Linked DNA regions of Mytilus edulis. The protein of the gene in region 3 purifies or fractionates together with the protein of the main gene of each other region. This does not show direct contact. Links are inferred from orthologs where the notes say so. Each region holds a gene or a part of one and is shown on either strand. Other genes may lie near its edges. The genes, in order: lethal(2) giant larvae protein homolog 1-like, partitioning defective 3 homolog and partitioning defective 6 homolog beta-like.

Evidence for each region.
Region 1: the proteins of partitioning defective 6 homolog beta-like (region 3) and lethal(2) giant larvae protein homolog 1-like purify together in Drosophila melanogaster (affinity purification with western blotting; 5 studies listed by BioGRID, with this or other methods). This does not show direct contact. The link is inferred for Mytilus edulis from reciprocal best matches to the Drosophila melanogaster genes par-6 and l(2)gl.
Region 2: the proteins of partitioning defective 6 homolog beta-like (region 3) and partitioning defective 3 homolog purify together in Drosophila melanogaster (affinity purification with western blotting; 7 studies listed by BioGRID). This does not show direct contact. The link is inferred for Mytilus edulis from reciprocal best matches to the Drosophila melanogaster genes par-6 and baz.

What each region holds. Positions count from the first base shown.
Region 1 is NC_092352.1:31,188,742-31,199,321, reverse strand, and holds the start of lethal(2) giant larvae protein homolog 1-like, read right to left. Parts: upstream 5,166-10,580; 5' UTR 4,867-5,165; coding exon 4,819-4,866; intron 1-4,818. UniProt on the Drosophila melanogaster protein: Essential for the development of polarized epithelia, for cell polarity associated with asymmetric cell division of neuroblasts during development, and for oocyte polarity formation.
Region 2 is NC_092345.1:88,188,408-88,198,926, reverse strand, and holds the start of partitioning defective 3 homolog, read left to right. Parts: upstream 1-5,127; 5' UTR 5,128-5,460; intron 5,461-6,618; exon of another isoform or gene 6,619-6,703; intron 6,704-7,213; 5' UTR 7,214-7,316; coding exon 7,317-7,442; intron 7,443-10,519.
Region 3 is NC_092348.1:80,171,986-80,182,835, forward strand, and holds the start of partitioning defective 6 homolog beta-like, read left to right. Parts: upstream 1-5,807; 5' UTR 5,808-5,929; coding exon 5,930-5,992; intron 5,993-10,394; coding exon 10,395-10,617; intron 10,618-10,850.

The DNA.
Region 1 (10,580 bases), on a different chromosome or scaffold from region 3:
GAATATGAGATCCCTGCATAATGTTCTAGACACCGTTTTGTTAAGGATCAAGTTATTTCTAAATGAACACTGGAACTGAGTAGTTGTATAACGCTCTACAAACAGAATATTTACATTAAATTGAAAAAAGATTCATTTTGATATGTTTTTGGGAATATACGATATTGTCCTTCACTTAATTACAGTTATAAACTAGAAAAATAGTTATTTTTAAAGCCTAGAATACTTCAAATTTTCTGTAAAAAACCCGGACCATTTGTCTAACTGAAACCCGAACGAATTCACAGTTGCTCTCGAAAAAACCCGGACAATAACAAACACTGATGTATTTATAAATACAAGGAAATTGAGCTTCTTTGTTGATCAAAACATATAAAGTATTCAATATAAGATGGGTAGTAATGTTAAAAACTGTTATAATTACGAAATATCCGTTAATTGAACTTATCGCATGTTTTATCACTTGAAAAAGCCCGAACTGCAATCGAAAAAAATAGACCAAATCACTCTAAAAAACACGATCCTAGCCGGACACTCTACCTACCGTGGATGTTGTTCCATTCCCTGAAAAGTGCTGTTCGGAGCTGGGCTAGCGTTTCCGGTGGATTTTGACTATTTCTGATACGCGTCGTCCAAGTTGTCCCAAAGATGTTCAATTGGTGATAAATCTGGAGACATTGCTGGCCAAAGCAACACACGAATATGGCTATTCTCCAAAAAGGTCATCGAAATGTGTGCCACGTGACAACGGGCGTTGTCCTGCTGAAAAAACGTGGTTAAAACGATGTCTTCAGAGAAACACGGGAGAACAACTGGAGCCAGAATTCCGTCCCTATACCTTGTTGCATTTAGGTTACCAACGATGATTTTGAGCTCGGTGCGTTCCTGGCAATTCCGCCCCATACCATGATTCCGCCACCACCAAACCGATCTGTTTCCTGCACGCACGCATCAGAAAATCGTTCATTGCGTCTCCGGTAGACCCTGGCTCTGCATTCGCTTAATTTCAAGTTGAATTTGGATTCATCGGTAAAAAGAATCTGTCTCCATGTTTGCCTATTCCATCGAATCCGTACCCGTGTCCATTGAAGTCGCGCCATCCTGTGACGCTGCGTAAGGATAGGTCCCTTCAACGGACGACGCGCTCTTAGACGCAATCGGTTACGAACTGTTTGAGCAGATATTCTGTTGTTATGTCTTCCGTGGGTTTTTCGTGCAGTTTGTGTTTACAAATCGATTCCGGAGATGAATGATGCGGATGTGGCCTGCCACTACGGGGGCGATCATTTTTGTGCCAGTATCTCTATTAAAAACGAGTCTTAAGCCTTGCAATATTCATTCTAGAGACATTCAAATGATTTGCAACCTGCACTTGAGTCATTCCTGTTGCCAACATCGCAATAGCTCGTTCTCTCTCATTTTGGCGTAGACGGGCACTGTTTTACGTGTAACTTTTTTAAATTTTCTAATGCGACCTTTTGTTAACAATCGTGTTCGACACAATAAATGACAAAAAGGACAACTCGATTCCAACTCTATACAGGTAAATTTTTGAACAAATGGTTATTTGTTTGAAATCAGAAAATGACGTCAAGTCATTTCCGATATTTTTATAAATGAGTAAATCATTCAGGTTACTAGTTTTCATCATGAAAATATTTGAAATTAATATATGTGATAATTATTTTCAAATTAAAAACCAATGTAACGTTTCATTTTTGGCCTAGTATATATGAGGGGGAGGACAGGGGGGTACCCTTCTCCCTTCTCCCACCCCTTGTCTCCTTTCTCCTACCCCCGTTCTCCTTTCTCCCATTAGAATAAAAAATCTCCTTTTGAGATATTTTTTCTTGAAATATTAGAAAAAATTTTAAAAGGAGAGATATTTTATTTTTTCTCCTTTCTCAAACTTTTTCTCCTTTCTCCCAGCCTTCCTCTCCTTTCTCCTACCCCCTTTCTCCTTTCTCCCACCCCCTTTCTCCTTTCTCCTACCCCCTTTCTCCCTGTCTCCCTTACCCCTGTCCTCCCCCTCATATATTCTGCCATGTCAGGATGATTTTAATAATATATATGGGGTCGAGATCCCTACCCCTAAACCATATATATTCCTATTTTTCATGTACATAAGATAAGATAAGAATTATATTAATCTAATCAAGAACCCATAAAGGGAATCATTTTACAACAATTTTATGATAATATGATATATATGGAAGTTTTTACGACCTTGACTGGCTATACAGCCCTTGCACTTGTCATGTCACGAGGAATTGAATGATATATATGGTGAGTCCCCAGGGGGTCCCCACCCCAATGATCTAATATATTGTAAACGGTCGAGATCCCCACCCCTAGACCATATATATTCCTGTTCGTCATGTCACGAATATTTGATTGATAAAAAGGGTCAGTCCCTAGGGGTCCCGCCACCCCCAATGTTCATATATCTTGTAAATGGTCCAGATCCCAACCCCTAAACCATATATATTCTGATTTATCATTCCAAAATAATTTGAATGATATACAGGGTAAGACCAAAGCGGTCAGGCTCAAGTAGGATATACGGTACTATAGTTCCGGCTTTTGCAATAAATTCATACGCGTATGTATTCATGAGTAATAAAGTTAAAACTGTTTAAATTTTACATTAAACTGAAATAAATGAGTGATTTACAGGTTGACAAGTCGACAGGTTGACAATTTTAAAAACGTTATGGTTGGAATAAGTGGTTGACAAGTCGACAGGTTGACAATTTAAAAAATGTTATGGTTGAAATAAGTGGTTGACAGATTGACAAGTCGACAAGTTGACAGGTTGACAGGTTGGTAAGTTGATAATTTGATATAATAACAAGTAAGTTCTGGTTGACAAGTCGACAGGTTGACAAGTTGACAAAATGACTGATTGAAAAAAAAGATATAAAAGTTATAACTCAATACTTGTAAAAAAGGTTAAAAACTGAAGTTAATTTTATTTTATTTAATGGATGATGTACTTTTATTTACTTGTTTAATTGTAAAATTAAACCCTTCAACCTGTCAACCTGTCGACCTTAACATTTGTCAACCTGTCAACTTGTCGACCTTAACATTTGTCAACCTGTCGACCTTAACACTTATCAAACTGTCAACCTGTCGACAATAACACTTGTCAACCTGTCAACCGTAACACTTGTCAACCTGTCAACCTTAACACTTGTCAACCTGTCAACTTTTAAACTTGTCGACCTATATAGTGTCAACCTGTCGACTTGTCAGTCTGTAAATTTATGTTCATATACACCGATTTACTTCTTAAGTTAAACCGATTTATTACTCTGTTCTTCCGAAGGAACTACAGTACTGAAGTTAATTTTATTTTATTTAATGGATGATGTACTTTTATTTACTTGTTTAATTGTAAAATTAAACCCTTCAACCTGTCAACCTGTCGACCTTAACATTTGTCAACCTGTCAACTTGTCGACCTTAACATTTGTCAACCTGTCGACCTTAACACTTATCAAACTGTCAACCTGTCGACAATAACACTTGTCAACCTGTCAACCGTAACACTTGTCAACCTGTCAACCTTAACACTTGTCAACCTGTCAACTTTTAAACTTGTCGACCTATATAGTGTCAACCTGTCGACTTGTCAGTCTGTAAATTTATGTTCATATACACCGATTTACTTCTTAAGTTAAACCGATTTATTACTCTGTTCTTCCGAAGGAACTACAGTACTGAAGTTAATTTTATTTTATTTAATGGATGATGTACTTTTATTTACTTGTTTAATTGTAAAATTAAACCCTTCAACCTGTCAACCTGTCGACCTTAACATTTGTCAACCTGTCAACTTGTCGACCTTAACATTTGTCAACCTGTCGACCTTAACACTTATCAAACTGTCAACCTGTCGACAATAACACTTGTCAACCTGTCAACCGTAACACTTGTCAACCTGTCAACCTTAACACTTGTCAACCTGTCAACTTTTAAACTTGTCGACCTATATAGTGTCAACCTGTCGACTTGTCAGTCTGTAAATTTATGTTCATATACACCGATTTACTTCTTAAGTTAAACCGATTTATTACTCTGTTCTTCCGAAGGAACTACAGTACTGAAGTTAATTTTATTTTATTTAATGGATGATGTACTTTTATTTACTTGTTTAATTGTAAAATTAAACCCTTCAACCTGTCAACCTGTCGACCTTAACATTTGTCAACCTGTCAACTTGTCGACCTTAACATTTGTCAACCTGTCGACCTTAACACTTATCAAACTGTCAACCTGTCGACAATAACACTTGTCAACCTGTCAACCGTAACACTTGTCAACCTGTCAACCTTAACACTTGTCAACCTGTCAACTTTTAAACTTGTCGACCTATATAGTGTCAACCTGTCGACTTGTCAGTCTGTAAATTTATGTTCATATACACCGATTTACTTCTTAAGTTAAACCGATTTATTACTCTGTTCTTCCGAAGGAACTACAGTACCGTTTATCCTACTTGACCCAGCGGTCATCCCCATCCCCTGTCATTTGAATATGTTCAAATATCTTGTAAAATGTCGGATGTATAAGTACCGAGCCACCCCAAAAGTATATTACCAAAAATTGACTAAACAGAAAAGATTTAAAAAATTTAATGTACAAGGAAAAATAAAGAGACAAGTGTCCACTATAACACGTACATGTAGTTATTAACGTCAGTACCCAGAATCTATTCTTCCAAGACCATCATGTATTATGTGTGAAGTTGACATGCAGAGACTGCTTGTTATATACAACCCTAATGAATAGCACTGCGCGATTAGAACTCACCTTTTTCTTTGTTCCAATTTGGTACCATATATACACATAGTCAGACATATCTCATTATAAATCCATGGTGATTCAATGCTTCTAAAAATAGAATAGCATCCCGTCTGAGGCTGTAATGAGTAGATGATCATGTCTGTACACTTGGAGAACAGTCATTATTTATCAGCGGAGGGGGTCTGTGCATTTTAGGGGGCGGCAGGGGGTCATTATAATTTAATAATTTCTGTCATTATTAAATGTTCGATCGTGTACAACACTAGCAAGATTTCCGTTTAATCTTTCAATGGTAGTGATTACTCCTTAACATGTAAAGTCATCTGTTATGGTTCATTATTTCCTGTCAATCTGATACTTAGAACGTGAACATTTACAATCCGACTTAACAACTGCATGAGTTTTGACCACAGGAAACAATGAGTTAGAAAAGTTCTGAACGTGTGTATTTCAACTTTCTCAAGTGTTAAAATCATTTTGATAGGATTTCTTGGGATAGATGTAGGATTGTAAAAGAGGTGTACACATTCTAAAATCATTTGTTAATAGGTATACCTATTTGATGAAATTATTACAAAGATATCGAATAAGAAAAGGAATATTTAATGTTACAATTATGACATCCACACACACAAAACAATAAACTCGGATTTCGTAAAACATTTTCACACGGAAATGAAATATTGAATGTTCATATAATTATAAACCTACATATACTTTTCTTTGTTTCAAATAAATCATGTACATATTTGATCTAGGAAGGACCAGAACCATAAAATCAGTGATATTTGTAATGTGTTACTTTCAGTTGCACTTCCTAGAGTGGAATTGAAACAAAAAATAACTATATGATGAAAATATTTAAATCAACGGAACATTGATAGAACATCAAAATTTTAATAAAGGCATTAAAAGAATTGCCAAAATATGTTTCCTCTTTTTAATATTTTTTTTTCATTCACAAATAAATCTATGACAGACAGACAGATAATATAGAGTAAATATCATTACTGAAAGGTTTTGTATAACATTTGTAGAATTTTGGGTTGCAGTCAAATAAATTGAAACACATCTTTTTATTTTTTTATTTTTACGTCATTCCATTCATTTATAACAGCACATGCTCGTGTATATCAACAAAATTTGGCTTCATACCTTTAAAAGCTTTACTTTTTAAGGATTAGCAGTTTCAAAATTAGGGACAATCTGTATAGGTATGTACTGGAAGTCTCTTCTTAAAGGGACCCCACTGGAAATAAGTTTCAATAACTGTTGTGGGTCATCCTAAGGTATCAGGTTGTCTTTCGAAATTTTCACTCATTATAATCTAGTCTATTAATATTATCAAAATGTCATGACAATTTTCATAATTTTATTTTCATATTATAATTTTTAGAAAACATGTAAATCATGTTAGTGTCTGTAACTATTTATGTCTTGTGCTATATCCATGTGTCATTTTAATTTATATAGACTATATAGTGCTTGTCATATTCATGCCTTTTATCTTCAATATATAAATAGATCTAACAGTGTTGGGTTGATGTTTAGACGATAAACGAGTCTAAATTTAAAACTACGTTCAAACCTATGATTGCGTTGGATAAAAACAGCAATTTTTATACGTGTGCATGTAAAACAAATTTCGTTGTAGAAGGGTCTAAATACAACACAAACAACATTTTCCAAACGACCAAAAAAGTGAAAAAGTATATTTAAACAAAACGCATTTGCCTAACAGGTCGAACAATTTCCGTGTTGATACAATTTGTATTGCATTTTTATACGGTATATTGGTATGACGTTGGCGTCGTCGTCGTCCTCGTCGTCGTCCGAAGACACATTGGTTTACGCACTATAACTTTAGTTTAAGTGAATGGATCTCTCTCACATTGTACCACAAGATTCCATATCACAAAGGGACAGCTGGAATTGAGATTGGGAGTAAATGCCCGAAACGTTTAGGAATTAGGGGCCAAAAATAAGCATTTTTCTAGTTTCCAGACCATAACTTGTGTTCAAGTGTATGGACCTCTCTGAAATTGTACTGCAAGGTACCATACCACAAAGGGAAGGCTGGGATTGATTTTGGGGGTAATTGCCCCAAATTTTAGGAATTAGGGGCCAAAAAAGGACAAAAAACAAGCATTTTTCTAGTTTCAGGACTATAACTTGTGTGTAAGTGTACAAATCTTTGTGAAATTGTTTTACAAGGTTCCATATCACAATTAAAGGGAAAGCTGGGTTTGAGTTTAGGGGTAATTGCCCTTAATGTTAAGAATTAGGACCAAAAAGGGGCAAAAAAAAAACCTAAGCATTTTTCTAGTTTCCAGACAATAACTTGTGTTCAAGTGTATGGATCTCTCTGAAATTGTTCTGCAAGATACCATACTACAAAGGGAAAGCTGGTATTGAGTTTGGGGGTGATGAATCATAAGAGGGTTAAAAAAAATTGGGGGGGGGGGGTTTCCCTTTTTTTTCTTAAAATTTTCCACTTTAAGTTGGTTATTTCTGATTTATATATAAAAGCAAATAATAATATGGCAGGAGATATACACCAAACAGGATGTGTAAATTATTATATTAAGTATTGTGCAATAGCAAGAAAGATTTAATTGCACAGTATTGCGCAATAGCAAGAAATATCCAATAGCACAATATTGCGTAATAGCAAGAAATCTTCAGTTTCACAGTGTTGCGCAATAGCAAGAAATATTTAGTGTATTTAGATTCATAATTTTTGGTCCCGTTTACAAATTGGTCTACATGAAGGTCCAAAGGGTCCAAAATTAAACTTAGTTTGATTTTAGCAAAAATTTAATTATTGGGGTTCTTTGATCATGTAATTAGATTTTTGACTGTGGGTCCAGTTTTCAAGTTGGTCCAAGTCGGGGTCCAAAATTAAACTTTGTTTGATTTCGACAAAAATTGAATATATGGGGTTCTTCGATATGCTGAATCTAACTATGTATTTATATTTTTGATATTTGGGCCCCATTATCAAATTAGTCCACATTGAGGTCTAAAGGGTCCAAAATTGAACTTTTTTTTATTCTTGGGGTTCTTTGATATGCTAAATCTAACCATGTATTTAGATTTGGATATTGGACCATAATTGGTAAATGTCCAATTTAAAATTTTTAAGTTCTTAGACCACATTCATTCTGTGTCAGAAACCTATGCTGTGTCAACTATTTAATCACAACACAAATTCAGAGCTGTATCAAGCTTGAATGTTGTGTCCATACTTGCCCCAACTGTTCAGGGTTCGACCTCTGCGGTCGTATCAAGCTGTGCCCTGCGGAGCATTTTATTTTTCCTGTAAGTGGTTTTAATACACTTGTCATTTTTGGGGCCCTTTATAGCTTGCTGTTCGGTGTGAGACAAGGCTCCGTGTTGAAGGCCGTACTTGACCTATAATGGTTTACTTTTACAAATTGTGACTTGGATGGAGAGTTGTCTCATGGCACTCATACCATAAATAAATCAGCTGTCAATTTAGCAGTACTAGCTGAACTTGGTATGTATCCAGTTTTTATAGAAGCTTTAAAACTGTCAATTGGCTTTTTGTTGCATGTGATCAAATCTGATAACAATTGTTTACTAAAAGATGTATATTGTTCCAACCTGCAATTAACCAATGGATTTGCTAAAAAGATTGAACAGTTACTTGCTACATTAAATTTTTCACGTGTTTGGAAAAATCATGATACTATTTCAAAAAGGCGTTTATTATATGCAATTCATACCAAACTTAATGATAGATATCTTAATTATTGGAAAGAAAATATATTTTGTGATAATAAATCAGTACATGGTAATAAGCTGAGAACATATAGACAGCTTAAAGAAAATTATAAATTGGAAACCTATTTATTGTTAAATATAGACAGAAAAGTAATAGGGAATTTTGCTAAAATTCGTATTAATAATAGTGTTCTTAGAATTGAACAAGGGCGTCACACTAAATCCCCTGTAGAAGAAAGAATTTGTCCTTTGTGCCTCTTAGAAGTAGAAGATGAATTTCATTTTACTTTAAAATGTACAAAACTAAATATAATTAGAGACCAACTGTTTTCCAAAATTAGTGAAATAGTTCCCTCTTTTTTAAATATGATTAGAATTATTGTTAAATTTATAAGCGACATTTACATTTCTAGAAATGCTTTATTAAGCACTAAATAACTTTGTGGTACCACCTCCTCATATAATGTTTATGAAATTGGTATGATATATATATGTTTGTATGTTTGTGTATAACAAATTTGTATTGTCTTGGTATCAATCCTGTAATTTTGGATTTTAAACCAATAAAAATTACTTACTTACTTACTTACTTACTTTACCACATCTTTTTGTCGAGCCTTCGACTTTAGTCGAAAAAGCGAGACTAAGCGATCCTAAACTCCGTCGTCGTCGGCGACGGCGTCCACAAATATTCACTCTGTGGTTAAAGTTTTTTAATTTTTAATAACTTTCTAAAACTATCCTGGATTTCTACCAAACTTGGACAGAAGCTTTGTTTATGATCATAAGATAGTATCCAGAAGTTACATTTTTTTCCGTATTTTACTTAAAAATGGACTTAGATTTCTGTATACATAAAGGGCATAAACTTTAAAGGTGTTTTCATATCTTTTATCAAGCTATAATCTAGATTTCGTAATTCATTAGTTGACCATATCTATTGAATTTTTCAACATGTCAAGGTAAAGAATCTCAAATGTAATCAAAATAATTAAGCATGTATTCTTCTTTTTGTGGTTTAAAGTTTCTTAAGTTAAGTATCGTGTTGCTGAAAAAATATAATATACAGATATAAACAATACCAAATTTTCACATTATTTTCTCAAAATGGTCACAATTATAAAGCTTCAAATTTGCAATTTCTTGAATGAAAAATGCATGAAAAAAATAAAACTACCCATTACACTTCGGTTTTGTACATTTCATGAGCAGAAGATTATATAATTTAGTCAAATACAAACTTATAACCCCATCAACGTATCATACTTAACATAAATTTCAAGAAAAACAACAAAAAAATGACCAAAAAAAGACTCATTTTTGCAAGAGTCAATATTAATTTCCATAGGAAATTAAAAATGCTGATTTTGAGTTTTCCTCAAGTTAGATTTTATTTGACTTTTATCTGTGTATATATAGGGCATAGTGCTATAGATTAAAAATAAAATATTTTCTTTTGCAATTAGTTTGAGGTTAAATCTTAGTTTGACTGGGCTATTAGAGCTATCAAGCCCTTTGATTTATTAACGCACTTGTTGTTTTATGGTAGTTAGCGTGACCATGTAAACGGAAGTAAATCGGGCGATAAACACCAACAGAGGAAAACACGAAAAAACTGTTATCGTTCAGGTAGTAGATAAGAAGCCATTATTTTGTTCTCATTTCACTTCTTTCAAGGATTTGTAACTATACCATTCCTTATACAATTTCTTGCTTCTTTGCAATGGTATTTTACTCGTTTAGCCCTCAACTCCTCAAGCTGGCACATAAAAATTTTATATTAATTCAGAGCTCCAGATAAGCTGCGTATTTGCGTGATCACTGAATAAAAATAATAAAAAACCCAATGCAATTGCCCATTGCAGGGTTCAATAACTCAATTATTTCAAAGGAAAACACAATTATTTGCCCAAACCATGAGTTCTCAACCCTTTAATTGGCTACTGTTTGCGTTATTTACCCTTATCTGTTTACAGTCGTCGCATAAATCTATGTTTATAATAGTTATAATTGGAAATCTC
Region 2 (10,519 bases), on a different chromosome or scaffold from region 3:
AAATCATCTTATTAAGGAAAAGTTTACTTCATTGCTAAGAATCAATTGCAGTGTTATGAAAAAAAAAAATTAAATCTGAAAATTCAATTTCGATGTTATTTCAATGTTTGACTTGTCTGTTCACTTTTACAAGGTGGACTGATTGAAAATGTATATTAGACAATATCAGGAATACTGAATTAACTATAAAGGTACAAATCATGAAAAGGCAATAACATGGCTAGGGTGATCTAAACTTTCCAGATATCAATCTCAATCTCAGCAAGAACCAACTGTATAAGCCTTAACAAGTCCAGTGTTTGCAGAGACAACCACAAGTATTCTTTTCTATGTTAGGAACAAATATACCTTGGTTTCATTGCACAGATTCGATATCCAGTAAGATTTGGTCACCCCCTATCCCAGAAGTAAGCAACATAAACATCAAAGAGGCAGGTGAACTTAATATGCTACTACATTGTTTTCAAAATAACGACCAGATGGGCAATAGGTACGTAATTGGACCCTGGTGTACTGTTGTCTCAATGACAGTCATACCACATCTACTACTTTTTACATCAATCCGAGTGTTGAAAACTGAGGTTTGCAAGGTGGTGAACAAGAGGCTTTAACGAGCCTGTGTCGCTCACCTTGGTCTACGTGCATATTAAACAAAAGACACAGATGGATTAATGACAAAATTGTGTTTTGGTGATGGTGATGTGTTTGTAGATCTTACTTTACTTAACATTCTTGCTACTTACAATTATCTATCTATAATGAACTTGGCCTATTAGTTACAGAAATATTTTGTTAAAATTAACAAAAATTTACAAAATTTATGAAAATTGTTAAAAATTGACTGTAAAGGGCAATATCGCCTTAAGGGGTCAACTGACCATTTAGGTCATGTTGACTTATTTGTAGATCTTACTTTGCTGAACATTATTGCTGTTTACAGTTTATCTCTCTCTCTATAATAATATTCAAGATAATAACCAAAAACGGCAAAATTTCCTTAAAATTATCCATTCTGGGGTGGTAATCCAACAATCGGTTGTCCGATTCATCTGTAAATGTCAGGGCAGATATATTTTGACTTGTTAAACAATTTTACCCCTGTCAGATTTGCTCTAAATGCTTTGGTTTCAGAGTTATAAGCCACAATCTACATTTCACCCCTATGTTCTATTTTTAGCCATGGCGGCCATCTTGGTTGGCTGGCCGGGTCAACAGACACATTTTTTAAACAAGATACCCTAATGATGATTGTGTCCAAGTTTGGTTAAATTTGACCCAGTAGTTTCAGAGGAGAAGATTTTTTGTACAAGTTAACAGACGACGCCGGACGACGACGACGGACGCAAAGTGATAAGGAAAGCTCACTTGGCCCTTGGGGCCAGGTGAGCCAATAAAAAGGGACAAGACTATATAATCGAAACTTCAAAGCCTAGTGTTTTAAAAGCATACTTCATGACTTGAACTTTAATATAGCCAACCTTTTAAGAACTACATTAAACTTGGAATAAGATCGATAATCATGTAGTTGCAATACAGCAACAAAGATTCCCAATGCATATTGAAACCAAAACCGGCAACGCCATTGTAAGAGAGAAAAACTATCAAAAGACGATTTGTCAAACGACAGTCTGCAAAGCACAACATGGGAAAACGATTGAGTGAGCAACTTAAACCCCAACAGAAAAAACCTAGAGTTTTCTCAGGAGTAAGTCATGTAATGTGTGTATATCCTCAAATAGAATTGTGGGTGTGTGAAGCAATTGAGACCTCTATTGAAGAAGAGAGTTGTGTTTACCTCCTTTTTTTCATATTTTATGTATTAAAGGACATTCTGTTTTTGCAGTCAACAAGTAGAAACATGTGCTTTTTTTTCATGATAAAGAGAAAATAAGCAAAATTTGAAAAATGTTTGTTTCATTTATCAGTATTTAACTGACTTATTTGTTTGTTGTTGAACATTTACATATTTATATCGACAGTTTGGAATTAAAATGTTTTGGTCATGATAAATTTGTTAACCTTCATGATCTTTTATGGAACTTATAGCTAATCTTCAAGATCAAGAAATAACATCTATATATTTTTAAATCGTACAAGTGTGGACACAGATCAGTGTTGAAAATGTGTTTGGATGTTTTACATTGTTTTCATAGGGTTCTATGTTAAACTGTGTTGCAAAATTTTAACAGCCAACTTGTACAAAACACTGAAAACTAGCAATGTTTACTTTTGATGTTTAAGACTGTCTTGGAGGAGACACTATCAAATGGGATTGTTAACCAAATGATTCTGATAAAATGGGTTTCATAACTTTGATTTGGGATAGCAGCAAAAACTATTTCAATTTGGAAAGGAACGCATTAGATGCACTTCTGCACGAAGCGACTTAAATAAGCAAGATTGTATGTATCTATGCATCTGAATGCGTGTAGTTTTTGTATGGTTCTATTTATGTTCCTTTCTTGTCGACATTTCTTACTTGGGTTTGTCCACTAAAACTGTATGTTTGTGAAGGATCTTCCTAGTATTATTAGTAAAAGATTGCAAAGGCAACTGATAAAAATTCTTACGGGTCAAAAACATTATTAAATTGAGAATGGAAATGGGGAGTGTGTCAGACAACAACCCGACAAAAGAGCAGAAAACAGCCGAAGGCCACCGACGGGTCTTCAACACAGCGAGAAAATCACGAACCGGGAGGCGGATTACAGCTAGCCCCTAAAAATGTATACTAGTTCAGTGAAAATGGACGTCATACTAAACTCCATGTACGGTGACCTGTATAGCTGTTAGGTTTCTGTGATATTTAGTCTCTTGTGGAGAGTTGTCTCGTTGGCAACATATCACATCTTCTTTTTTATATTCAAAAACATATAAATGAACTAAAATTAAAAATCATACACGACAAACAGGGGCCAGTTTACAAAAGTTCTAGTCCGATGTCAGAATAGGTACTAAACAAAATCTCCATGATACATGCAGTCACTGCATGACAGCTCCAGTCACATAATGACATGTATACTGATTGAAAGATTATGTCTTCCTCAAATGAAAATTAAGTACAATTCCTCCCATAACAATGAAAAAAAACCTTACCTTTTTAAAATCGGTTATGAAAGGTCATGACATGAAAACAAATTAAACAATTGCATTGAAGAAAAAAAAATATTGGTCAAATTTAAAAACAAAACAATTTACGATAAAAAAAAAATATGACAGACATGAACCAAAGACAACCCTTAAACTATAAACTCTTGGCTTAGGAAAGGATAAGCACACTTTTGTCAGTTTAGAAGGCAAAAAGAACTGCATGTGAAACGTTTTGTTTGCTTTGTGTTGAAGGCCTCAATGTTACTTTGAGATGACGAACAGCATTAAAAACGCTTCTCTTTTGCTTTTTCGAGTTGTTTGCTGTGCAAGTACTGATGGTGTGGCATGGATGGTAGCCCATTTCCTTTATGTTACTATGTCCGAAGGTGTTCTTCGGATGATATTGAAAGTACTTGAAAAAGATCTCAGGAAAATTAAAACAAACGGACTTTTTAAAAATATCTGAATACCTTTTATGATCTTTTAAGTTCTTTTCGAATAGGGCAAGGTTGTCAAACTGATTTTGAAAATGAATTTTTAATTATAAAAATGAATTCCTTATATTAAAAATTGCGGATTTCTTAATATTTAACTAGCTGTCAAATTCATAATCACCGATTTGACTCAAATTCTCATATTTGATTTATGAAAATGTAAAACATTTATCCAAATTATAAAATAACCAGTATACTGGGCATATGCTCGATAATGTGTAAGTTCGTTTCGTGTGTATTTTAGTCTAGACGCAATCTGATTAACTTCCGATTAAAAATAAATGTTAATTATCGTTTTTAATTATTTATTTATTATCGAATCAGTTTGATTTTTGTTGCAAAAGAGGGACGAAAGATACCAAAGGGACAGTCAAATTCAGAAATCTAAAATAAACTGACAACGACATGGCTAAAAATGAAAAAGACAAACAATAGTACACATGACACAACATAGAAAACTAAAGAATAAACACATGAACCCCACCAAAACTAGGGGTGATCTCAGGTGCTCCGGAAGGGTAAGCAGATCCTGCTCCACATGTGGCACCCGTCGTGTTGCTTATGTGATAACAAATACGGTAAATAGTATAATTCGGTAGGTCACATTCATGAAAGGGAAGGGGATTGTAGTTACGACGTAAGGAACAAATCCGATATCATTTGTTAAACGGTTGTTCCATAACGGTCAACCAACTCGTGATGGCGTCCGTAAAATTTACGGACAGATGATTTCAACTTCACCATGATTTCAACTTCACCATTTGGAACTCTTGGTTTAATAGCTTCCTTGTGAGCAGCAACCCTCTATCAAGAAAATCATGATAGGAAATGCAAGCCGAACGGGAATATCGTATCAATTGGGAGATATATACCCCGTATGCAGGTGCTGCTGGAATGTTGCTACTTAGAAATGGAAAGTTCACAATTGGAAAGCTGAAATCATCTCTTTTGAGTGAAGTGAATAATTCATCATCAATGTTTCTTAGCTTATTTTGACTGACAAAATTGAACCATACTGGCTACTAAAAGCGATATATTATTTCACTATTTCTTGATTGAATAACAAACAAAAAAATCAGATTTTGTATTTATCTCGTACTGAGCTAGTGCCCTTTTAAGAAATAGTGTTTTTCTTTTTTTTATATTAGAAATTAAGTTTTCAATATTAGAAAATGATTTCAAGGCTTAATATGAAAAAAATATTTCTTAATATCCATAAAATGAATTCTTAATAATAAAAAATGAACTCTTAATATCAAAAATGAATTCTTAATATTAGAGAATAGCTCTTTTTGTCCACTTTTGCTTGCCATAAAAAAAGTGACAGGTGCACGAAAATGCACAGTATATGATATCAATCAAAAGCCTATCCAATGTCCTTGTTCTTCTGAAACATAACTGAATAAAACAAAAACAAAGGTGAGAGAGGTCATTTGAACAATGATTCTAGGAATATTTTAGTATTTCAACAACAAGCAGACAGCCGGCAAAGGTGATCGCCTCGCAATCTAACAAAAATAAATGAACAGTTACATCCCTTAGGAAACTCCAAAGCGGAAACGAGGCAAGTAAATATATCTCAACATGATATGTGTCATCAAAGTTAATTGAAACAGTTTACCTTGATTGTTTTCTGCCAGATAAATGATTAAGATTGTTGTAAAGCTATACCAAGTAATTCAATTTTGTATGGGATTACCGAAAACTTATTAAAAAGTGTGATATTGTGTCTAAAAACTGCGCAGACGACCGTGTTTTACCAGGTGTTTACAAATATAATTTTACTTCGGGTATGTCACCCGACCCCCGCGTCTTTTAATTTCCTGGAGTATCAATTCATTTCTTCTGACACTGGATTATCACTGCAGAAAATAAGGTACGTTTTCGTATTCAGATTCTGTATCCAATTTCTTGTCACAGTCACAGAATTTAAACATGTTAACAGGTTAAGCCACATACTGACATAGTCTAGAGACTAGATACAGATACTGATAGTGATAGCAAAGTAAAATCGAAAGAGTAAAGGATCTAAAAGTAGTCTCATAAAAGTAAAGCAATATCGAACTCATTATTCATTGTACATTTATAGTAGGTTGCTGTTGTACCATAAATACATTATTTACACCACCATTTGGTATAGATATCTTTCCTTTCATGTATATGTACAACTACGGGTGGGCTGTAAGATCCTAAGGGTATTGTATACATTACATGTCCATGTACATGTGACATATATATGAACTAGGTCACTTCTGTCTGATGAACATAGAAGATGCAGTGAAATCACTAATAGTAACAATAATTAACAATGAAAATGTGATGTTTTGCTTATTTTTAATTTTTAAATGATATTTTCTGTACCAATCAATGATTTTTTTTATTATTTCTGTCGCCTGTCGTACTGACAATACTTGTAGTTTGATTGGATTTTGAATTTATTATTTTTCTTCTGAGAAAATCTTACAAGATCAGATTTATTTGTACAATTCAGGGGTGGTTCTAGACATTTTCAAAAGGAGGGGTTCCAAACCCAGGATAAAGAGGGTGTGTGTGTGTGTGGTGTCCCAATTCAAATGCATTGATCGTCAAAACAAAGGTAGAGGTTCCCAACCATGGACCCCCCTTCTGGATCTGCCACTGCAATTCATGTGTTAATTCGAGTATGCACAATCATGACAATTGAAAGTTCAAAATTTTTAAAGTTGTGATATTTGTATATTATTCAATTGTTTTTCATCTAATTAAATATTTTTTTTACTAAATTAGATAATAAACTACATGTAGTAAGAGAAAATTCATGGAGGATTGGTCATCTCTAATAACATTAAACTAAACTGCTTTGATATTTTTTTTTTGCATTACAATAAAATGTTTGAAGGGGGATATATAACACATAGAATTGGTCAGGAGGCAGGAAACAGACATGTTTTTGTCTACCTCACTTATGAAGAAACAAATGTGAAAAAATGATAAGTACACATACTGCATAGACATGTTCAATGTATACTAAAATTTTCAAATTTATTCAGGAAATAAAGCCATTTACAGAGAAAGATGTAACCATGAGTATGCTTAGCTGAATCAAGGCTCCTTTTTTGAAATCATGGACCTGTCACAAGGTCTGCATATAAATCTATATCTACAAAGTACATGCACATTTCATATTCAGATTCTGTATCCAATTTCTTGTCAAAAATGGCATCACAGTCACAGAATTTAAACATGTTAAAGAGCCACATAGTCTAGGATATACAAAGTACATGCACAATATACATCTTCCTTTGCTAAGCAATGGTTATTACATTGCAAATCTTGAAATGTGCATTAGGCGACATTTAAAAGAATGCATGTTTCCCCTCCTCTGGTCTACCCATTAAAAACAGACCAGGAAGGCAGGGTTTTTTTTTTTAGCGTAATGTCCTAGCATGGTGACATGAATGGTTTGACTTGTTCAGTTGTTTGTGTTCAATTTGAGTGTACATGTACTCATTTAGATTATCAATCCCTTTGCTTTCAAGCACTTTTTATTGAAACAATTTTTTTAACCTCAAGGCTTATTTTTGACCAGGGTGGGGAGGGGAAACAAAAATGTAAAAATTTAACAGTTAATAAAATTTTGTTAATTTCAGGTTGATCATACTTTTCGTTGATGATGTAGATATATAGATGTGAATGATCTGAAATGCATAGGTTATGTACATGTGTAGACTGTTACAATTGGTTTCATGAAGAATGCCAATGAAAGTGACCGTCTGTTTTGATAGAGTCAGAGTTATTGTTCCCTGTGGAGATGGTGAGATTCCAGTGCATAGTTTAATAGAAAAGGCCATCACAAGATTTAAAAAAGCAACAGTTAAGGTAAGTACAAGTGTACAAAAAAATGTTATCCTATAGGATTGTTTTCTAGTTTGAATAAATAACATGTAAATATACAAAAAGTGAAAAAACATCGGAAAGAGTATTTAAATTCCTGGTCAATACAAATGTATATATACAATTACTTCTTTCAAGATGTAGTTAAAGTTTTGTTCAGGTAGTGAATTTTGTATGTGCATATATATATATTAAATCCAACTTATGTAATGAAATAGACATCAAGAACGATCAAATCTAAACATTTGAAATACAGGGATGTGTTTATATATGTACATGTACACTAAAATGTTAGGGATCTATGACCAAAAATAACCATAAAATAAGGTATAGGTGATCAACAATGAACAGAAAGTACATTGTGTATGTTAGTCTAGATGAGGTATCATCAATATATTACATGTACAATGTTCATGTATGAATTATAAAGATAGTTAGATACACAATGCAAGTACTGATATACGTTTCGGTTCAAAATATAAATTTTCATGTACATTGTACATGTATGATGCATTGTAAGGTATACATTCTGAATTCTAAAGGTTGGTTTGAATATTCGCAAAATAAATATCTATCTATTCAGTAAAAGTTTTTTGACGATCATATGACTACTTCAGTGTTTTAAGAAAGGTGGTTGAATACTGCTACTTTTTGTCCATTGACCTGATAGCTTCACTTTTGGCCAAAGCCTTGTTGACCTAGGACAATTTACATGACATGAACATGATTTAGAATACTATTGATTTCTAGTTAAATGTGATGGAATATCTAAGGTAAAGATATAGTTTTGTAGCGGAGATTTAAAATCTCTGTTTACAAAGTCCTGATTTGGTCAGCGTATTAAACAAGTGAGTGAGTCAAAATGCTACAATATATTCTGTGGTTTATTTTTGTGTAAAATTGTATTTGCCTACACAATTCTTCAAGAAAAAATACATTTTTTGGTAAAAAGTACACATTTATTACATGTAAATACAAAAAAATATGCAGGCAATTTTTCTTTAAACTGATATAGTGTAAATCATCTCTGTATAAAGGTGAATCACTAAGAATATATATAAACCTTTAATGAACTTGAATTCTTATCATGGTAAAGTTGATAAAATAGTTTATTCTACAATGGATCATATATTAATAAATGGATTTATCAGATTGTGATATTGTCATCATAATGTCTAGGTTTAAGGTTGTCTCAGATGGTTGACTCCAGTACTGTTAAGATATTTCAGTTATGTAAGATTATCAACAGAATTTACACCTTTATCTGACATTTATTTGTTCAAATATTACCCCATCTTATTGAATTATAAGTAGGTCAGTATCTGTTTACCTGAGGTTGTTAAGAAGGGGTGTGTCTTAGATTTGTTGTGCACTGAAGGAGACAACTGATAAAGGAAGTGAAATTGGTTTACGCTTTGTCCTTTTCAGATATTGATTGTCTAAATTCATTTGAATACACCACATTAAACATTGACAATAGGATGGCCATCATGATCCTTTAATGTTATTAATTAATCCATTTTAGTTATCTGTTTAATTCCCTGTGGATTTGACTTGCATATCATATGTCCTTACATGGTGGTTAATTGAATCTTACTAAATTTGGTAAAACATTGAAACATGTATCTGTGAGATTTATAATTAACTCTAAAACCCACATGTATGTAAACATTGACTTGATTTTGTTGAATAATAAGCATGTCATAAATGTTCTTGTTAAAATTATGTCCAATCTGATTAAGCTAAGTATGGACTTAAGTCTATTTTTTTTTGGTAAAGGCTGTTATGAACCCTAAAAAATAACAAAACAGGGACTGACATAAACACTTCTCACGTTAACATATTTTTGCTAAAACCATGATATATTACAAGTTAAATCAAGCTTTTTCCATTTGTTTTGTTTAAGGATGTTTGCTCCTCTACTTTTTGAATTTTTGCCCGATTTTCGAAATCCTCTGGTTTTATCCAGATTTATCCATGAATTGACATTAAAAAAAATTGCCCACTAACCACTACTTTTCTTTTCATATTTTTATTACATATTATTTAAAAAGCCATATTCCAAATCTTATGAAATCCTTGTTATTTTTCATAGTTTTTTTAAACAAAATAGGTGCCAATGTTAAGTGAACGAAAAATCTAGAGAGAATTATTTCCCGCCAAATTTTCAACAGCTTATATCTCGAAAACAAGCACACGGACCCTCCATTTTTTTCTGTTTTTTTAGTTTCTTTATTTATATACTTCGCTTTATAACGGTCTTTTAAAAAGCTTGTTATTTTTAAACAGAGTAGCGAACATCCTAAAATATTCTTAGGTATTGTTGTAGTATTATCAGAGAGAGTACAAATGTACATGCAGTCAAATATTTTACATTTAATTTAGATATAATTTAAAACTTAACATTTGATCACCACATGCTTGTTGTCAGCTCATCAACATGATGAAATTCAATTATATTTTGTGAATTAATTATTGAGATTATTTTTATTTGTCTTAAAACTTTTTAGTGGTATTGTGCTCCCTTTGAGTGGGCAAGGTAAAGCGCCACCCTGGTCAAATCAACGATTTTAGAATTGATACTTGTTCAATGTTGTTTCTCAGCTAAGCATGCAACAATAATGATTGAAAGCACAGACTGGTCTGCCCAGAGTTAAAATAATATGTCAGGTTATGATGTTTACAGCCCTATGACCTATCATGTTAAAAATTGGTTCAGAGTGTTGGTAATGTTAGTACATGTACATGTATTAAGAAAGGTTGATATTCATATCACTTTTAATATTTTCACTTCTGAAGTTGAACATACATTTAATTTGCCACTGGATACTAAACATTTAGCCATCATTTATCGTCGTCATCCTTTCAAAGGAAATTAGTAGAGAATAAATTTCTTTGCCAAAATTTTAGAGAACTAGAGGCTCTAAAGAGCCTGTGTCGCTCACCTTGGTCTATGTGCATATTAAACAAAGGACACAAATGGATTCATGACAAAATTCTATTTTGGTGATGGTGATGTGTTTGAAGTTCTTACTTTACTGAACGATTTTGCTTCTTACAAT
Region 3 (10,850 bases):
GTAGTGAGCTGAGGGAGGAAAAACTTTAGAAAGCGATCATCAAGAAACTTTGATAGAGTATGATCCACTTTTCGAAATTAAAATTAAAGTAAAAAAATATTTTGTTTGAAGTATTTAGTATAATTTACGGTAGTTTAAACAGGTCTCATTAAAAAGTATCATGCATGGTGAGTTGTTTAAGCAGGTTCCCAGCTAGCTTCAACTGGATGAAAAAGTTGTGTAATTTTAGAACTTATCCTGAATGGAATAAATAGCGATTAGGTGTATTTACTAAGGGAAAATAAGAAGTTAGCAGTGGTACCAGTTTGCATTGGTACCAGTTTGCTTTTAGTAGTACAAACAGACATTGGTACGAGTTTGCAATGGTATGATCATGAGATAACTATAAATTCTATCTTAAAGATGTTTCATTTTTTGAAGTTTGAACAGAAGGAAATTTATATAGTCTTTCTTTTGGTAGAGGAAGCCAGAGTACCCATTGAGAACCACAACCTTTTACAGGAAAACTGCCAACTTAAGAATTAAAAGAAATCTGGTTTGTTATTGTTTAAAACAGACAAATAATGTGAATAAAGTTCAGAAATTATAGTTGAAAAGGTACTGGCATGGTGAAGCAAATTATTTTGTCATGATCACTCATCAGAAATACTTTCATTTTGTTCTAGACTATGCTCTTCAACAAAATTACCTTAAGAACTTTGACTGAATTTGTCTTAGTTGGTTCCGTATTCATAAGTATAGCGTCGATCAGCCAAGGTTTGAGATGCGCTGGTTTTTTTCTTGGCATTTTGGATTTCGTGGAGTGTTTTGGAGAAAGGAGATTATAAGATTCGGACAATGTCGGAAATAGCATGAAATATCCGGCTTTAGAAATAACTCCGTCTCTCTCTTTTTTTACAACTCAAGTCTCTTGGTTAAAAATACGCTCAAAATACACAAAGAAGACGCTCCCGACGATGACTAGGAATTAGAGACGGCTGTGTAATGGTAGTCTCATGTTTTGCTAACTGTGAATGATCTCTTTAAAAATAAAGTCTTTGTTTACAGCTTTTTGACTACCTGTTGAAGATCTCTGAAGATACGAACATGGTTTACTTTTCACAAATTTGACTTGGTGGAGACAGAGACATATTACGTAACGGTACCCAAATTGCACAGAGTACCCAAATTGCAATTATTTAGCAAAAGTAGCAGCGGACATCTTACAAGATTTCCTAGAGACTAAACACTTTGTATTTTTATGATTTGACACTATGCACATCTTTCAATATAGGTGAAAATATTTAGATTTTTACAAAACGTTCACAGTATTTATCAATAAATGAAGTGTTTACTGAAAAAGCAAAATGTACTGAAACGTTGCCATGCAACGTCATCAAAACGTCATCTTTTTAAAATGACCAAATACAATATGTTACAAGTATCCATTTAAATTTTTTTGTTTAGAGTAAGCATGGACTAATATCCAATTGTTCAAAATATTTGAAGAATTTAATCAAAAGCTCTGTTATTAGACTTTTGACAATGCAAATTTAAGCATGGATGCAATTTGGGTACTACTTATTTCAGAATCATTGATGATTTGGAGGTCAGTTTAGACCAATTTTTCTAAGATTCCATATGGATTAAAAATCAAATTGGTGTACCTCCATAATAAAGAAGGATACAGCTACAAAATAAACACAAAATGGACATTTTTTTCTTTATAATAAAAAAACGTAGATGAAAAAACTGTCAAAATAGGTGCAATTTGGGTACTGTCATGTTATACACATAGTGTACATATGTCTCTGGTGGAGAGTTGTCTCATTGGCACTCATACCACATCTTCAGGCTTATATCTATATAAAATTATTCATTTAGATTACTGAGAGTTGCCTAAAATAATTGCATAGCTGTGTATAATTTTGCTAGCTTATAAATGCTTAATTTGTTTACACACCTCAGTGGGGATATGGAGATGAATATTTTATATAATCAACATTGTAAATGGAGACTATTTTAAGTCTCAAGAATTGTAAAGAAACGGCAGATATTGAACTTAGACTGGAGTACATTCTGTCTTTTTAACTAACTGAAATAAATGAATGAACACTATCAAACGGTAATTTGCAAACCATTAGAAGATCAGCTATCTTGTCTTGATTGACGTACTTAAAGTCTTTGTCTTCTGTAATCTGTACATGTGCCCCTATCTGTTCTGTGTTTTTTCAGTATTGTTATTTTTATAACCGTGACGTATTCTGCGTTACTATAACAGTTTATCCCATTGCTGTTAAGTTTCTGTCGCTATCTTCTCCTCTCACATATAGAAAAATAGTATTGAACTTTTATTTTTCAAATAATCATGGCATTATCAAAATTGTTTTTTGCTGTTGTGAAATTTCTCGCGATATGGTTTACGCGTACGTCAATGAGATGGCAACCAAACGAAACGGAAAAAAAGCAAAGACATCTAGAGGTCAATAGACATGTTTTTGAATTTGGGTTTTGATGCTCCCAAGCGTTTTTGTTTTTTTATTATTTATTGTGTATAGCCTAATTTGGGCTTTCTAACCTTTTGATCTAGAGCATTCGACCGTATATCCGTTGTAGGTCATTCTCGAAAAAAAATTGTACAATGGATTCATTGTTATATTTCTCCATTATTCCAACTATTAGGAACTTTCACTGAATATTTAGAATCTAATAGTTTGTGCATCTTCTGTTTTACTGTGAAGTCTTTGTAATTTAGTGCATGCATTTATTTGTTGTCAGTTGTATAAGAAGTTCTCTGCCAAAACTTTTACAAATGAGGAATTTCCATTTCTATCTCTAGAATCTCTGGTATCATTTTGTATTGTGCCATGATCTTCTGTCTTCTTAGCACGGAATCGTCTTGTCTGATTTTCCTGTAACGATTCGTCCATTACTTTTACAACTTAAATAAAGGTCATTTATCAAATTTATTGAAATATGAACATCACGTAAAAGTCATTAAAAGTGCGAGTTTATAAGGATAATTATTACTGAATGCCTAGACTGATCTCCTGGGTAACCACTGTATGTCTCTACTTTACATTTGTATTTTAAATTCATACTATGTATGTTAATTTATTTGTATATGTCTCTATACCATTGTACTTTGGTTTACGAGAATAAAGATTTACGCATATTAAACGATTTTCTTTCAGTTAAAATTACTATGCTATTGAAATTATTGAACCAATGCATGAGTATACGTTTTTTTTTACATTTATTACTGACGAATCTATATCTCAACAAATGATTATGTTAAACAGTAATTGTTGATAGCAAGCTTAATAACTTTCGAGTTTGATACCAAAACGTGACATTGATAAACAATCAACACGGCAGAGCACGCGGAACACATGTAAAACGGCTGTAAGATAATTTGGTGTATTCAAGTTGTTCTTTAAATAAAAATCCTTTTTTTTTTTTTTTACTAATTACCTTCCAGTACAAAAGCCAAACAATGAATCTTGATGACTTTGACAGGTTTTATACTAACTTAATATATATATTAAAAGTAATTTACAATCAAAGTCTAGACCATGTTAGTATTCCTCCAATAGCATAATTTAAACATTTACATTTTTAAAAAGAAACTATTTAATACATTATTTAAAATCTAAGGAAGTTCTGTTTTCATATCTATAATAATTCATTATTTAAAATTACTAAATATAACTTACTTTTTACATACTGGGCATGCGGTATCAAAATGTCATAGAACTAAAACCGCTATATAGTGTATAATATTTTACTAGAGTTTAATTTTTGATCGATTTCGACTATGCCTCGGCCTACAAAGGAACTTTTTAAAAGTGTTGTGTTCACTTTTTGTAAGATATTATTGAGTCATGACCAATGTTTCCTTATTATTTTACACAATTACAGTGCATGCATGAGCTGGAATTGTCTTGGATGGTAATTGCAGCGGCCTACTTTGACTGAACATTGCCACGTGAAAAATCCCAACTTTTGCAAATTTTCGGTTTGAACAGAACAAAGTATCTACCCAATTTTGTCCAAATGTGGGGATATTTTTTTAACGATTATATTAAAACGACATAAACATTACTTTCTAACTTTTCTAGTCATATCTGTATCTGTATCTGTCGTGGATATGTCGTATAGTTACCAAATCTGGCTTTTAAAATACAACGGGAGGGAAGGCGCCGTCCAATTTTATTAAGATCATATTGATCTCTGATTTCGTTATATATGCAGTATAACGAAATCAGAGATCAATATTTTAATTAGATTGGGTATATGTACATGATGTAGTCATGATACCGAAATCAGAGATCAATATTTTAATTAGTTTGGGCGCCGTCGATTTACTGACGTTTCGCGAAGGCAGCTTTAAAGCTCTCTACACTTGTTGCGCGCACAATAGTGTCTTCTAGGTGGTTCCAATTTATTGTTGTGGACACACTGAAGGATGAATTTGAATGTTGCGGTGTTTTACTGGTAGGAATGTCAAAACACCTAGTATTGTTTCTCACTTGTTTTTCAACTAAGTTATTTGCTTGATAATTGTTAAACTTTTTAGCTGCATGTGATGGTTCTTCTTGGTCTTCCTAATTTGAGGAAGTCGTCTGGATCAATAGCAGGAACCAGCACCTCAACCACCTTGTACAAAAATATAAGTGTTTGGCTTGTGCGTTTCAGTTGTAATTCCTGTAGCTCTAATTTTGTAAGCATGTTTGTTATCCAGCCATCTTCTCTAGTTCTGTAATCGTCTGCCATAAATATAGAATGTCAGATCAACTGTATCAAAATATTTTTGTGATCTTGTATTATCATAGCTTCATCGATGACTTTGTTTTATTATTTTAATATGGAAAGTCAATGAATAAATTTCATTTAGAATCGGCACATATGTACAGTCAGAGACATATATACACATGTGTATATATGTCTCTGGTACAGTCAACAATAAATATGAGCTTGAAATAGCTCTTACTACCGACCTAAAAATGAACAGATGATCAAGCATTGTAAATAAGCCTGACAAAACTTCACAAGAGACAAAATGAAAAACTGAAAATAACAACTATGTCAACTATATATGTCATCTTACGACTTTCAACAATAAATAAAGCCCATACCCACAGGCACTTGTTTTCTATCCATGGCAAGATCTACGATGCCTATATACTTGCTCTCTATCCATGGCAAGATCTACTATCCCTTTTCTATCCATGGCAAGATTTACTATCCCTTTTCTATCCATGGCAAGATTTACTATCCCTTTTCTATCCATGGCAAGATCTACTATCCCTATATATCGATAGTAGTCTAGATCTTGCCATGGATAGAAAACAAGTGCCTGTGTCCGATTGTCAGTTTTCTCTACATTTTAAAACAGAGATATTATAAAATTGTATTTATACTAGTAATATGTCTCATTTTTATATCATTTTATCATTCTTATATATACTGCATGACAGGTCTGTCTCTAATTATTTCAACGGCCGATTCAAGTTGTACATAGTTAATTAACTCATCATAGATACCAGGACTAAATTTTGTAAATACATGCGCAAGACGCGCGTTTCGTCTACAAAAGACTCATAACTTATTATATGAATCTTTTATTATTTCAAAGGTTCCCGCCTTGGTGTACTTCAGAAATGCTTGTACATGTTGTATTGTGATTAAACATACTTGAATATTTCTATAAATAAGTCAAACAAACAATGAAAAATACATAGACTTTGCAGTTTGCAGAAAAAAACCCACTGCATATTGTTAATGTAAAAGCTACTGTCTAAAACACGCACCTGTCGTTTTGTTTCGAGATTATACTACACAATTTGTGACGTCAGAGGTAAATGTTCATTCATAAACAACATAACACCAACGGTGTGGAAATAGAAAATAAAAAGTATTAAAAAGCCCTTTGGGCTGTATTTTCATCATGTCACGTTCATCGAAGACTTTTTTGCATCAAGGATACAGTTTGTTAGAAGTCAAATCCAAGGTAACTTTTAGTTTTGGGTATTTCGTTATGACCTGGGTCACACCTGTTCAACAGCTTCATCCAGGTAACAATTTTATTACTTCGACCAAAAAAGCGTTATGACGATTTCGGGTTATTTCTTGCCGAACATTTGCAGTTCTATTTTACATTTATAGGGAATGGAGAATAGGAAAATTTTAACACTAAAATTTTCTAAAAATACACCCTTTTATGACAGGTCATTTGCGAAATTTGCATGCTTGAATACACATGTCACACAATGAGTCATTATTTACATATTTTCTTATCCTGACAAATTTTATGTATTAACAACTATTTCATCAAAATAAAAGATAATGGTAGGGGTGGGGGGATTGCACATAGCATAGAAAAAATGGGACTTAGTGTTGAAAGATCTCATTGATACTGTTTATAATAGTAAAGAAGCATTATATTAATTTTCAGTATTTTTTTTTTTTTAGAGTAAATAAAATTTAGCAAAGTGCTAATTTTTGCATTTTTTTTATGACTATTTTGAGCAAGTTGCAGGGCGCTGCACAAGTATCTGTATAGAAGCATTATATTTATTTTTAGTATTTTTTTTTTTAGAGTAAATAAAATTTAGCAAACAAGTGCTAATTTTTGCATTTTTTTATGACTATTTTGAGCAAGTTGTAGGGCGCTGCATATGTATCTGTATGGTATTTTCAGTCTAGAAACTTTTTAATAGTTTTAAAACAATGCTTCAAGATCTTGTTTTGATTTAATTATCTTCTTTAAAAAAAAAAAGAGGGCCATAATGGGGGTAAGTTCAAGATGAAAGATGGTAGAAAATCTTGCAAAATGATGTTAACATGGTTATGGGTAATTTTTGGTGCATGTATTTGACTATACATAAAATTTACACTGATTATGCGGTATGGGCTTGGCTCATTGTTGAAGGATGTATGGTGATCTATAGCTGTTAATTGTGTCATTTGGTCTCTTGTGAATAGTGAATCATCGGCAATCATACCACATCTTCTTTTTTATACTTTCTTCAAGATTATAAACAAATTTTAGCTGATTTTGACAAATCACCTTATTTTTTTGTTTTCTTTCCAAATTAAAGGTAACAATAATTAGTTGACACCTGGAACAAATCACAATGAAAATATTTTAATGAAACAAGCTAAAAATTACTGTTTGATGCCTGAAGGGACAGGACATTCCTACCCTCTTTAAACTTTTCTTATTGGAGCATCATTGATAAGTCTTCTTTAAACTCAATATGATAATGTTGCACTGTATACTTACTACCTAAACTTTACAGATTTTTTGGGTTCCTCTAGATCTGTGCATATGACGTGTATGATGTACATGAATATTTTCTTTGTTGGGATGAATATGTAAACAAACAACACTGATATTTTGTAAACAAATTTCATATTACATATACACATACCAATATACCATAGATTTCCTATGTATTTTACTATAATTTTATCAATTGTAAAATATTGTCATAGACTGGAACGTTTGACAGAAGGATTATTATTTGATGCAATTATATGTTGTAAACAGTTACATAGTTCTAATGTAAATACATGGTATTCTAGTATACATGTAGATTATATTCAGAGAGAGATTGAAATACCAAATTTTGACCAATCAATTGGTTCTTTATGTCAGTATGTTAAAAATAAACTATGTAAAAGTTTAAATCATTTTGGAATAAACTGAAGTATCAAACAATTAACTCTGAAAAAGGGAAGCTTGGTACTTGTTTTTCTATAAAAAATTGTTTTAAAAAAGAAAAATATTTAGAATTAAAAACCAATTGTTCAAAGAACAATTGAAGGTCTTTCCACAAGTTAAGATCTATTTTATTATCAAAATATTAAAAATCAATCTAAAATGTCAGTTCCTATGGCTTTATAATGTATAAATATGAATTTAAAGCAAAGGCCAAATCTAGAATGTGCAAATTACCTATGACCTTGATCTCAATTTCAAGGTCATAAACCAAGGATCTCAAATCAAAAGACCCTAGGTCTTTATTATATATGGTTAATGAGTTATATCACTTTACTCATAATTCTAAATATAAGATGGGCGAAAACTCCTATTTATTGTTTACGCACTCTGTCAACCAAAATTTATAAGTAACGGCATGTCGTAACTAACAATTTAGTGAAAATAAGATGTTGATATGTTGTAAGGTTTTGAAAATAAGTAAAAATAAGCCAAAATAAAAATTTAGAATATGACCTTGACCTTTGACCTTGACCTTATTTTATTTTTTTGGACCAAGGATCTCAAATCAAAAGACCCTAGGTCTCTATTACTTATGGTTTACCAGTTAGAAATGCATTTCACTTATATCAAATACATGAGGGGGAATAACTGTCATATGGAGTCTCCGGATAGCTTCGGTCGAAACTAAACTACTAATCCTGAAGATGTAACGAGCAATTTGGTAAAATAAATTTGTCGTAATCTTTTACGGTTGCGAAGGAGTAGTGGCCACAAGAAAAACAGTGTTTGGGGAGATAACTCTTACAACGTAAAGTATTTTGTTACGCGGTTGAAAATTTTTAAAGCGTATAAACTATACGATATCATATTCCAAATATCTAAGCGACATCTTTTGAAACATCAACAATACGCAAGAAAAAATTTAGGCGGAAGAAAAAAAAAAAAATAATAATCTGACAGAACAAAATCAATAGGCTAGGTCTTTCCACGGAAAGGTGGAAAGACCTAATTAAAAACTAAGAATTTATCCATGTTTATGTCTTGTAAGATGTTTTATTTCTTTCCTGTTTTTCAACATTTACATTTGGAAAGTTGAAATGTTTTAACTGAATGGGTAAATTTAAATTAATTATGAAAATTGTTAAAATTAGACCAATAACGGAAATTACTGCCCAGTTACAAACAGTACCAGGGGATAATTCATGATGATTTCTTTTTGAGTTATATGTTTCAGCACATGGATATTTGACTGGAACTTTAGCCTGGTAAACGTGTTGTAAATTGTGAAATATAAAACATATTAAAAATGACTCTCTTCTAAAGTCTTTTATTGATATAAAACCTTCTTACTTCTCACTAGACAACACTCCTGTCAGGTTTAATTATTATATATACAACTGTATGTGGATGAAAAATAAAAGTTCCCAAAACATTAACATGGCAGCAATTGCTTTTACAACCTTTAAGGCTTTGATTCAGTTGCAGCTGCTTGTTAACATTAATGTCTAATCTAACACTTTTTGTAATGGAAATGTAAATGTTTTGGATAATATATAGTTTGTTGGACTGTTGAGTTGTTTTTGAAAGAGGCTGTCCAAGTAAATATCAGGCAAATCTTATGATGTGGGTGGCACAACATAATTTTTTTCCCACTGAATTTTTGGTTCCAATGCAATGTTTATGTCATACAAAGGATATATATGTCAAAGATATTTTTGAATCAACAGTGGATGGCTCAGAAAATGATTTTAAAGTTCACTAACAATGCAACAAAATTTGGTACAAAATGAAGAGTTATCTCCCCTTTTCAATGAATTTTCAGTACTTTCTATGTATTTTTTCTTTCTTCCAGTAAATAAAAAACAAAATTTAACTTGGAGAAAAAATTAATTTGTGATATGAAATAGATGAAAACATTTTGAAAACAAAATATGTCATGTGCCATCCACTGCCTGGTTTTTCCATGGACACCCTCTTAAAGTTAATCAGAGATATCCTAGTTAACAAAATGACATAACTTATAAGCTGTATGTCAGTTGCTGATCAGGAATATGTTTATAAAACTATCTGCTGCTACACATTTAAATTCAACATGCTACATTTTGTACATGGTGTTTGGGTTGGGTTTTTTTTCTTCATCAAAAGCTCCTTAGAGCTATACTATTTCATGTATAAAAGGAATATGTAGTGTTTATCAATGAGACAGCAACTAAATTACACAGAGCAAAAATGACATCTAGAGGTTAACATGTGGTTTAGTGTCTATATAATATATGATAACCTCTATATTTACATGCATAAGTTCAGAAATTTGTGGAGAAATTTAGCAGAGACATTCAAACATGGCCAATTTTTTTAAAACAAATAACAATGAAAAGTGAAAACAATAACATTTTCTTACTTCTGAGTCCTGACATCAGACACATATATATATTTAATATGTTTAGTGACAAAAGTCCAAATTTAAATGACATGATTTGGGCTTTAATTTTATGTACACCTCTTGCAGTCTTGTCTAACAAAACATTACCAGATGCAAATCCACAATTTTGAACAAGGGTTTTATAAGGGGGTGGGGCACCCTGATCCCTTAAATCCACCCCTGATCACCATTGTTGTTTGAACCATTTTCTGTCAGACTAATCTTTAATGCTGAAATGTATACATTTACTACTTTTATTTTCAGCTTGATGCAGAATTCAGAAGATTTTCAGTTGACAAGTCAAAACAGCGCAAATTTGAAGATTTATATACAAAAGTAGAAAAGCTGCACCGTTTGAAGAATGACCCATTTGTAATAACATATTCGGACAAAGATGGTGATCTGCTTCCCATTAACAATGATGACAATTATAACCTTGCCCTTCAAACAGCCAAACACCTTCTACGTATTATGGTGCAACGTAAAGGTTAGTATGCTACAAAAAAAATCTCAAATATTAACCTCAAACTACTTTTCTGAAGTTATGTATTGTGTAAATATTTTGATTAGAGATCAATTGATTTTATTCAGTGGGAAGGATGTGTTTTTAAGGCATCAGAACTTTATTCAAGAAAATTAGCTTGTTTTGAGAGATAAAAACTACACATGGATTTAACAAGTTAATCATCGCTCAGACTAATATAGATATCACACATGTAC